Tribolium castaneum: one gene and its partners. The protein of the gene in region 1 binds, or shares a complex with, the protein of each later gene. Links are inferred from orthologs where the notes say so. Each region holds a gene or a part of one and is shown on either strand. Other genes may lie near its edges. The genes, in order: l(2)37Cb, 116 kDa U5 small nuclear ribonucleoprotein component and crn.

Region 1 (3,755 bases):
ATTTACCTATAAATTACTTATTTAATGAAAAAGTATCCAAATGATTCTTAAACAGGTGCTAAATCGGTTCTTGTAAGAAGATTACAGAGAAATAAAAAAATAAATGCCTACTTTTTAGAAATACAGAGCAATTATTTTAATTAAATCTACCTACTATGAACTGAAAAGGTCAAATGCAAGTCAATACTTTGTCTTTTCTCTATTTTTAGTTTGAATAAAAACGGCTTATTTCTGACGATTCTTTGGTTAAAAACGAAAGATTGAAAAAACTCTAGATAAAAAGAACGTTTTTTTTGCACTAATTTGGACGAAAACGATTTATTTTATACAATTTCTTGCTTAGAAACGAGAAAACTCTTTGAGAAGTGGCTGAAAACCGCCTTATTTTAGCCGAAAACAACGATTTATGTTATAGTTTGGATGAAAACGGCTTATTTCTGGCTATTCTTTGCTTAAAAACGAGAAAACTCTCATAAAAGAAGATTGAAAACGCCTTATTCTAGCTCAAAAGAACGGTTTATGCACTAGTTAGAACGAAAAAAAAAATCATTTTGTATAATTTCTTATTTAGACACGAGAAAATTCTTGTATAAGTGGCTGAAAACGCCTTATTTTAGCCGAAAACAACGATTTATGTTATAGTTTGGATAAAAACGGCTTATTTCTGGCGATTCTTTGCTTAAAAACAAAAAACTCGCATAAAAAAAGATTGAAAACGACTTATTCTAGCTCAAAAGAACGGTTTATGCACTAGTTAGAACGAAAACGATTCATTTTGTACAATTTTTTGCTTACAAACGAGAAAACTTTTTGAGAAGTGGTTGAAAACGGCTTATTTTAGCCGGAAACAAACAACTATTTATGTTATAATTTGGATGAAAACGGTTTATTTCTGGCGATTCTTTGCTTAAAAACAAAAAAACAACGCATAAAAGAAGATTGAAAACGCCTTATTCTAGCTCAAAAGAACGGTGTATGCACTAGTTCGGACGAAAACCATTCATTTTGTACAATTTCTTGCTTAGAAACGAGAAAACTCTTTGAGAAGTGGCTGAAAAGCCGTATTCTAGCCGAAATTGACTTATTTTGGACGATTCTTTATCTATTTTCTTCCAATAAAAATTCTGTGAGACATCAAATAGTAAATTATTTTCTTTTGCCGTAATAATTTTATGAAAATATTCTAGTCCTCAATTTTTCGTTTAGCCAACAAAACTACATACTTTTGCTAATATTCAATTAATTAGCCTTCTCTCAAATGAAACGTTATTACTGCTTTTTGTGCTTTTGTAAGATACGAAATTTTTTTTTCAGAATTAATTTTTACGAATTATCATTTTGTTACTTCATGGCTCATGACGCAATTAATGTTCCATTTATTGGGACGAAGTATCATAAGATACTATAAAAAATAGAGACCTGGCATTTGCAAGACTTGGATGAAGTCAATCTGGTCCTCCAGCAACAAATCGTACTCGTCCTTCTTGGCTGAATCCTTGGCCCCGAACTTGAAGACCGCCGACGCCATTTGGTCCTTCTCCCATTTCTTCTGCTCCGACTGGGGCACCTTTTCCAGCTCATCAACTTCCACATAGTCCGCTGTTGACCCCTTGCCCAAATCCCTGGGCATGTGGTACCGCTGCACCCTTTCCAATTCACGCGCTTTTTCATGTTCCTGTGCCAACCGCAGCAATTCCCGCTTACGGTCGCGCTCCTTTTTCTCACGTTCTGTTAATCTAAAACCTCAGGTTGGCATTTACCGCAAAATCATTCCACCAACTCACATCTCCTCCTCGAACAAATACTCATCGTCAGCGATATCCTCCTCCAATTCCGCGATTTTATCATCTTTACGTTTCTCTAAATATTTACGTCTTGACTGCACCCTCAAGGCGGGGATCATTTTTTCGCGGTCTTCAGTTTCCAGTTTGAGTCTCTTGGCGGCTTCCTCGTAAGCGCGCCGGTCTGAGGCCTGGACAATGTTGCGGACTTTGGCTTCATCGCGTTTTTTGAGTCTACTAGCGAACTCGTCACGTTCTTTCAGGTCTTTACGACGAGCTTCTTCCTCACTGTCCACGGACTCGGAGTCCGAGCTCGATTCGTAGCGCTTACGCCCCTTCTTGTCTTTTTTGCCCATGGTGAGGCACTCCAGCAAGTGTTGACTACAAAATTTTACTTGTGCCTCGCTAATATGTGTAGTTTTTTGCTTAATTAAAGAGTGTTTTACTGAATTTTACATTCTTCCACCAACAACATAACCTCTAAATGTCAAAACAAACTTGACAAGTGGTTAGGTTACAAGTCCGGTGGCACCGAAATTTTGAGAATGCGATTTTAGTGATTGCATTCAAACCAATTTATTAAAATATTAAAAGGCTGTGACACAGGGATAAATAAACCAATACTTGTATTTAATATAGATTTATTTCTTATCACATAATTTTACAAGTTAATATTTTTTTACCTAGAAGAAGTGAAAATTTTGGTCTTTTTTCGCATCTACTATCACAATTTCCAATTCCAAGGTATACAAACCACTCCATCTGAAAGAACAGAGTAGTAAGTAGCTACGTTTAAATGTATACCGTTTAGATATTGTTCTATATCAATTTTTTTTTCTAAGAGCCGTTCACAGCATTTAATCATTAAATCCGGTGTTATATTATCATCTTTCCTAAGATTAAATAACTTGAATTCATCCATGCATTGTTTTTGCAAAGACCGCTCTATGTATTTATCGCTGAAATAGAAACAATTAACGGGAATCAAAATAAAACATTCACAAACTTTTTATATTCAGTCATTTTTTCCTTGGCGTGTTCTAAATTGGTTGTGATAAAATTGACTAACAAAAATCCAGGTAGGGAAGACGGGACTATAAACTGACCAGTGGGAGAGACCATCAAAGGTCCAGCTTCCCTAAAATAATAAAACATTTATGATTAAATTAAAATAAAAAAATTCATACGTTTCAACAACAATCTCAAATTCTTCTAACGACTGGGGCCACTGCTTAGGGAACCCCCGCCTTCCTCTATAGTCACTTAAAGAAGTCGTGATTTGTTGCAGGTTTCGCTCGTATTCTCCCGCCAAAACTTTCGGCATAAATTTTCTGAAAAAACAAATCGTTTTAAATTAATTCAAATCCAATCAATAATAACCAAAAGTCTGAGAAAAACTGACGACTAAATTTTATATGTGAAACATGAGAATTCTTACCTCCTGCCAACTTTGATCCCTCTCAAGACTTGCGAGACGGATTTTTCAAAACCAGGAATTCGGAATAGGATTTTGTCGTGCTTTCTCACGTTTTTGATCAACTGTGGTCAAGAATTACTTTCAAAACCACATTCAAATTTTCACTTACATCAAGCCAATTGTGCCGCACTTCCCCACTGTTGAGCATGATGTGCCCCTCTAGGCTGATCCCTGTAAAGGGTGCAAACACCAGCGTGCGGCCCTTCAAAACGTGCATAACTTCCGGATGTTGTTCAGCCAGAGACATAAAGCTTTGCAGACAGCCCCGAAAATGGGTGACATTCCAGCCGCAGTCCCAGCGGACGTCGGTCAGCTTCCACTGTTGGGCGATTTTTTTGCGCAAACGGTCGACCTCCTCGCGTAGAGGCCGATTGGCTTCGAGTTTTTCTAAGGCACTTTGGTAGTTCTTAACCAGCCAGTTGCGTAACTTGAGGGCTTCTTTGGCCTCGTTGATTTTTTGGCGCATGACAATGGGGCCAAAGATCGGGTCGTTTTCG
Region 2 (3,655 bases), on another chromosome or scaffold:
TGCTCGCCTGACTCCTCCACCCTTGTGGTCAGCAAGGGGTAGGATTTGTTGACCTTTCGGAGCCCGTCGAGCATTTTCGGGAGTTCCGAAGGGTTGACGGGCTCCACGGCGATTTTAATGATGCTTTGGGTGTTGAATTTAAGGGGGCGGAAAATGTACAAGTCCTCGTAGATTGTGAGGTCTGTGATTGTGGCTGTTTTAACGATTGATTGGTCGATGCCCTCGATTAGGACCCAATTGCCGGCAGGGACGCGGTTTAGCTCGATTTTGTATCTGGAATTTTGATTAAATAATGCGGTATTTTTAGAATTTTTGAAAGTCAAGACGTAGTAAACAACTCGTTATCATTAATTCATTAGTCGAGGTCATGGAACTTATCTCTAGATGAACGGCCTTGGGGCTAAACGAGATTTTACAACTCGTTGGTTACCTCATTTATTGCGGTTGAGACGCGCAAAAAAATTGCTCCTGGGTTTATTAACGAATCTGATAAGGGCTTAATTGTTTTTTGTTGTTATTTTTGGAGGGGGGGCGAATGGTAAACATTACGACGGTTATGTTATATTATGAGTGTTATGACAAGCAGATGCTTATCAATTAATTAGAAAAATAGTAATTTAGTTAAAGACAGGACGTAGTAATTTTTTGTTTTAAATTTTAACAAGTTCCATTTTATTCCGGACAAACGAACTTATTTATGTTTCTTATGTAACGTCATTCCAGAAACTTAAATATGTATTCCCAGTATTTTCATGTAAGGCTCTAAAGCGTATAGTTTTCGAGTCACACATTTCTTAAATAAATCTAAAAATTGGAAAAATAAAAATCTACCCAATAGACAAAATATTTTGAACTAAACGCCCATATGTAAACTGCCCCGAGAAGTAAATTGAAGTTAAAAAATCGGAAAACTTCAGTTAATTTAGAAATTATCGACATCAGCTAAAAAAATTACAGACCATTAGAGCAATTCTCAATAGTTAAAGGTAAAAGTTGTGAAAAAATACAGAAAATCAAACAAAGAAAGAAACAAGCGTTTTTTTAAATTTAATCTAGTTATCCATGACAGTTACGCCAACAGTGAAACGTATTCGGAGATAAAATTAACTAGACGCCCTCTGGTGATGACTTTTGAACTATGTCGAAAACAGTAAAGAAATTTTCGTAATGCCACATTTAACTGACATTTAATGAATTGTTCAACAATTTTGCGTGTATAGTGTTAATTACTTACAATAGAAAGAATCACTTTAAAAGTACGTGGTGGTAAATACTAGCGTTGACTTTGGTTCTGTAGTTTTTCGTGGTATAAAGTGTTTATTGTTGGAACTTGAAAGTGGATAAAAAGTGAAAAATATTTAAATTTTGATTACAAAGTGTTATCAAACAGTTGTCTAATTAAAGATTATAAGTAATGGATCACAGCGAACACAAAGTTTGGCTCAAGAAACCAATAAATTAGTGAAGTGTGTGAATTTTAGGTTAGAATTTTCCACTGAAAAAATCATGAAATGCTGCGGTAAATCTACAAAACTACAATAAAGATTAACAACTGCTGATACATTTAAACGTAAATTATGCCAAAAGGTAGGCTTTTCAATGTCTTTGTAATAATTTTCCAATAAAGAAAGTGAACCAAACAGTCATTCGTTATTCGTGTTTTCCTCGTCATCTCTCATTTATCAACATAAGTTTCTTGCATCAAAGATGCAATAATCATTCCGCATAGGCAATGTAATAATTGTGAAGCCCCAAAATTCGTACAACGCTCAAAATATCCGAATAAACATTTTCCCTCCATTTATGGTTACTGTTTTCGACCTAGTTCAGTGGCGCCCCCAACGGTAATTTTACTTCCGAATTGCGTAAATAATTTCAGCATCGCTTTATCTGTCAATATGTCCAAAATATTCACCGAAGAACATAAAAAAAATATGTTGGAAACTTATTTCCGTAATGTACATCGAGTTAAAGTAACTGTCATGGATAACTAGATCAAAATTTTAGAAAATCGCATGATGTTTTAACCTCATGGTAAAATAAATAAATGAATAAATAAATAAATGGTAAAAGACACAATAAAATATAAGGGACAAAGTATACAATTATGTTCAACCGTATCGGTTTAAATTGCTTTAAAAACACAAAATCACAGGCACCACAGCACACAATTAAAGATAAAAATACCGAGAACTTTTTGTAGGAAATTTTTCATGGATTTTTAACGATATTCGCAGCATTTTGAAAAATATCACACAGCGCAAAATTGAAATTTTTAATAGAAATATATTTTTCTCATATTTGTTGTTCGATTTTCGTCAGTTTATTAAGAATATTTGTGCTTTTATTCCACGATTAATAAATTAGTTAAATGTAAATTGATTTAAAATAATTTGGAGCTGTGTTAATTTTTTGGGTATTTTATATCTCGTTTCGCCTCATAAAATTGTAGACTTAATTATGACTCACCCAGTATTGTAATTTTACGAGTTTTCCATTATATTCGCACCTATACAATTCATTAAAAATTAAAATCAAAAATGATTTTACGAGCATTTTAACGCATTTTTCATGCAGAAATGCAATTAATTACTCGTATTATCAACCATTTCAGGAATAATGACACCGAAATTTTCAAAATTATCGTAGTAATGTTAAGTTTCGATTAAGAATTCGGTTTATATTTAATGTATTTTGTGACAAGAGTTTTTTTTTTGTTGTGGATTTAAAATGGGAAAGGATAATCATTTAAATTGAAGTAATTCAGTGAATTCTAAAATTTACAAAAAAAATGGTTACATTAAAATGTGGACCTTTGGTCCAAATATATGTAATTTAAATTTTGTTTGAATTGATTAATAAATAAAAAAGTTACGAGGGGGTGCACTTTTCGGTGGGACACCCTGTACATTGTCTTGTAGACGGGAACATAAAATACTGACGTACTACAAGTGTTGAACATCTTTTGAAGAGTATTTTTCTAGTTTCTGGTAGAAAATTGAAATCGGTAAGTAAATTGATTAGTAATATTATTTTTATATCTTCGTAATTTTTGCTGTCCCGTCCGTTATTGTGGTTCTTATTTCTTACGTCGTTAACCAAGACCAAAAATTTTTAATTTCTGTCTAATTTTGATAATGTTAGTCTTTAATAATTAAAAAACCTGGCTGAATATTTTTTTAGAGATATTTTCACACACAAGATTTTTTTGTCCCGTCCGTTATGTGAAACAAAAATAAATTGCAAACAGTTTAACTGGTACTACCAGCTGTTTCAAAACGACAGAAATGTCAACAACGCATTTTACCGAATTATTTTTTTAAATAAAATTGATAAAAATGAAAAATAAAATTAAAACTCTAATGTTTAATGAACTATTAGCCCTAAATAAAATAAATAAAATTTAGAAACCTCACGTTGTAAAACCGTTTAATATCAAAAAAATGAGAACATTACAATTTTAAAAAACAAGAAAATCGTAATTTCATATCTTTGAAAACTCTAGGTTTTATAATTATAAACCCCATCTCTTTATTCATCGAACGTATCTTCAAAAGCATTGACAAATAAGGAAGTTGTATTTCTGTTTATGCAAGAGTCGATATCTTTAATAAGAAGTCGTTTGTAGAACACTTATTTTTTTACATATTTTTTG
Region 3 (3,755 bases), on another chromosome or scaffold:
ATAAATCATGGGTCACGGCCCTGAGTTGGGAACCCTACCACCAAAACGCCGAGTGTCGCTTTCTAGCCTCGGCGAGTAAAGATTGTGACGTCAGGATTTGGGATACGGTCCTGTGTTCTTGTACTAGGGTTATTTCTGGGCATTTGAAAAGTGTGACTGTGGTCAAGTGGGGCGGTCTGGGGCTCCTTTATACGGCTTCGCAGGACCGGACTGTTAAAGTTTGGAGGGCTAAAGACGGTGTGTTGTGTCGTACGTTAGAAGGGCACGGTCATTGGGTCAACACTTTGGCCCTCAACACTGATTATATCCTCAAATTGGGGGCGTTTGACCCAGTCAAAGACACCCAAATCCAATCACAAGACTTCGTCCTGCGTCGTTACAACGAAATCGTTAACCCTATCGGTGATGAAAGACTCGTCTCGGGCTCCGATGATTTCACTTTGTTTTTGTGGGCCCCCTCAAAAGACAAGAAGCCGTTAAATCGGCTCACGGGGCACCAACAATTAGTTAACGATGTGAAATTTTCACCAGATGGTCGCATTTTTGCCTCGGCTTCGTTTGATAAGAGTATTAAATTATGGGAGGCCAAAAGTGGTAAATTTATTTGTACGTTAAGGGGGCACGTACAGGCTGTTTATGTGATTTCGTTTTCGGCCGATTCTAGACTTTTAGTGAGTGGAAGTGCCGATTCAACACTCAAATTGTGGAATTTGAGGGAGAAGAAATTGGAAATTGATCTGCCAGGTCATGGGGATGAGGTCTATGCGCTTGATTGGGCCTCAGATGGCTCCAAAGTGGCCTCGGGGGGTAAAGACAAAGTCTTAAAGTTGTGGCAAAATTAAATGCAATAAAATTTTGTAATTTTTCTCGAATTTTATTTAAAAAAAAAACAGAAAACTGTAATTGTGCGCGACATGTGGCGTCACCAGTGCAAATCTACAAATCCAATAATACAAAAACTGGCTTGCGGAGTTTAATTACTTACGTAAATTATTGTTTAATCTATATTACAACAAACAAACACTCGATCAAAATTTAAGGCACGATATTTCACAATTTGTGTGGTCCAAACATAACCACAAAAAATCGTAAGGTTATGTTCGTGTTTGTTTGTTGTGCTACAAGTTGGTAAAAGTCGCCCCTGAGATGGAAACCAAGCCGCAAAAGATGCCCAAAGTGGCCAAGGTACGTTATTTACCTTCTCTTTCAACTTAATAACTAACTAAAATAATTTTCCAGGTGAAAAATAAAGCCCCTGCTGAGATCCAAATCACAGCCGAGCAGCTCCTTCGCGAGGCAAAAGAGCGCGACCTTGAGATTCTCCCTCCGCCCCCTAAGCAAAAAATCTCCGATCCAGCTGAACTTGCCGACTACCAACTCAGACGCCGTAAACAATTCGAAGACAACATACGAAAAAATCGAACTGTTATCTCCAATTGGATTAAATATGCCCATTGGGAAGAATCGCAAAAGGAAATCCAACGAGCTCGTTCGATATTTGAACGTGCCTTGGATGTGGACCATCGTAACGTTACCATTTGGTTAAAATACACTGAAATGGAGATGCGAAACCGTCAAGTGAACCATGCTAGAAATTTATGGGACAGAGCCGTCACGATTTTGCCCAGAATCAACCAGTTTTGGTACAAATACACCTACATGGAGGAGATGTTGGAGAATGTGGCTGGGGCCAGAGCTGTCTTTGAACGCTGGATGGAGTGGCAGCCGGAGGAACAAGCCTGGCAAACGTACATCAATTTTGAGTTAAGATACAAAGAAATCGACCGTGCGCGAGAAATCTACGAACGCTTTGTTATAACACATCCCGAAGTCAAACACTGGATTAAATACGCCCGATTTGAAGAAAATCACGGTTTTATCAACTCGGCCCGCTTGATTTACGAACGAGCTGTACATTTTTACGGTGATGACCATTTGGACGAAAAATTGTATATTGCATTTGCACGGTTTGAAGAAAACCAAAAAGAACATGACCGTGCTCGCGTTATCTACAAGTATGCCTTGGACCATCTCCCCAAAGAACAAGCGAAAGAGCTGTACAAAGCCTACACCATACATGAGAAAAAGTACGGCGATCGTTCCGGTATTGAAGATGTGATTGTTTCGAAACGTAAGTTTCAATACGAACAAGAGATACTCGAAAATCCGACCAATTACGACGCTTGGTTTGACTATTTGAGACTGGTGGAGGGGGAAGGGGACCTTGAGACGTCACGTGAGACGTATGAGCGGGCCATAGCCAACGTGCCACCAACGAAAAATAAACAATACTGGAGGCGTTATATTTACTTGTGGATTAATTACGCCCTGTTTGAGGAAATCGAAGCGGTTGATTATGAAAGAACACGTCAGGTTTATAAAGCTTGCCTTGACTTGATCCCCCATAAGTTATTCACGTTTAGTAAAATTTGGTTGTTGTTTGCACAGTTTGAAATCAGGCGGAAGAATCTGATTGGTGCTCGTAAAATTTTGGGGACTGCCATTGGTAAATGCCCACGTGATAAATTGTTCCGTGGGTATATTGATATAGAGATACAGTTGCGTGAGTTTGACCGGTGTCGTATTTTGTACGGGAAATATCTAGAGTTTGGTCCGGAAAATTGTGTGACTTGGATGAAATTTGCCGAGTTGGAGACACTTTTGGGGGATTTTGAGCGTGCTAGGGCCATTTATGAGTTGGCAATCGCTCAGCCAAGGCTAGACATGCCTGAGCTGCTCTGGAAGGCCTATATCGATTTTGAGATCGGGCAAGAAGAGTGGGCTAATGCCCGACAATTGTACGAAAGATTGTTGGAGAGGACAAGTCATGTGAAAGTTTGGTTGTCGTATGCGAAGTTTGAGTTGAGTTGTGAGTCGGATATGAATATTAGTTTGGCAAGGCGTGTTTATGAGCGGGCTAATGAGAGTTTGAAGAGTTATGGGGAGAAGGAGGCGAGGGTTTTGTTATTGGAGAATTGGAAGGAGTTTGAAAGTGCAAATGGGAGCGAGGAGACGAAGGAGAAAGTTGAAGGGAAAATGCCAAGGAGGATTAAGAAGAGAAGGAAGGTTATTGATGAGGATGGTGTTGAGCAAGGATGGGAGGAGATCTTTGATTATATATTCCCTGAGGATGAGGCCAGTAAACCCAATTTGAAGTTATTGGCAGCTGCCAAAAGCTGGAAGAAGCAGAAGCAAACGGAAGAACCGGAACCGTGATTTTGAGAAAATAGAATTAAGGTTTAAATTTTGTTTTATTCCCCTTTTGTCACTTATCCAAGCGCTATCTGGTCAACGATTTTGCACTGCAACAATTAATTTTTTGTGGGCAAATGATAAGATAATAAAAAAATCGATACTTTATTCATTTAAATACATTAAAAGCGAGTGAGTTTTGAGACTTAACAGCCGCCATAATCCAGCTTTGATGAACACAAGACACACGTATGCACACATTCCTCTACGTTTTCCAAAAATTGGGGTTTTGTTGCAACCGTCGTTCAAAATTCGTGTACCAGTTCTGTACTGTAGCCAACGGAACGTACGTGGCCGTGGGATCTGGGACCATTTGCGGTTGCGTCACCGTATAACTCAGCACAAAATTCATAAAATTCTCCAACATTTTCTGAGCAAACGTGACATTATTACTGGGATTATTCGCCGATTCGATTTCCCGAATATTCGCCAGCGGCTCAATAGCGATCCCTATTTGCGCATTGTGTACGATGTGACTTTGCCCGAATAAAATATTCATCGAG

What was found.
Region 2: l(2)37Cb (region 1) and 116 kDa U5 small nuclear ribonucleoprotein component share a complex: the UniProt entries of both Homo sapiens proteins name them as parts of the minor spliceosome. The link is inferred for Tribolium castaneum from reciprocal best matches to the Homo sapiens genes DHX16 and EFTUD2.
Region 3: l(2)37Cb (region 1) and crn share a complex: the UniProt entries of both Homo sapiens proteins name them as parts of the minor spliceosome. The link is inferred for Tribolium castaneum from reciprocal best matches to the Homo sapiens genes DHX16 and CRNKL1.

Annotation. Positions count from the first base shown.
Region 1 is NC_087398.1:7,190,260-7,194,014, reverse strand, and holds the start of l(2)37Cb (pre-mRNA-splicing factor ATP-dependent RNA helicase DHX16), read right to left. Parts: upstream 2,299-3,755; 5' UTR 2,138-2,298; coding exon 1,785-2,137; intron 1,737-1,784; coding exon 1,420-1,736; intron 1-1,419. Other genes in the region: T-cell activation inhibitor, mitochondrial, read right to left, coding at 2,506-2,740, 2,788-2,919, 2,969-3,112, 3,220-3,320, 3,368-3,755. UniProt on the Homo sapiens protein: Required for pre-mRNA splicing as a component of the spliceosome. Contributes to pre-mRNA splicing after spliceosome formation and prior to the first transesterification reaction.
Region 2 is NC_087401.1:10,807,650-10,811,304, reverse strand, and holds part of 116 kDa U5 small nuclear ribonucleoprotein component, read right to left. Parts: intron 274-3,655; coding exon 1-273. UniProt on the Homo sapiens protein: Required for pre-mRNA splicing as component of the spliceosome, including pre-catalytic, catalytic and post-catalytic spliceosomal complexes. Component of the U5 snRNP and the U4/U6-U5 tri-snRNP complex, a building block of the spliceosome.
Region 3 is NC_087400.1:96,381-100,135, reverse strand, and holds crn (protein crooked neck), read left to right. Parts: upstream 1-1,048; 5' UTR 1,049-1,146; coding exon 1,147-1,185; intron 1,186-1,239; coding exon 1,240-3,216; 3' UTR 3,217-3,244; downstream 3,245-3,755. Other genes in the region: Nle (notchless), read left to right, coding at 1-842; protein OPI10 homolog, read right to left, coding at 3,458-3,755. UniProt on the Homo sapiens protein: Involved in pre-mRNA splicing process. As a component of the minor spliceosome, involved in the splicing of U12-type introns in pre-mRNAs.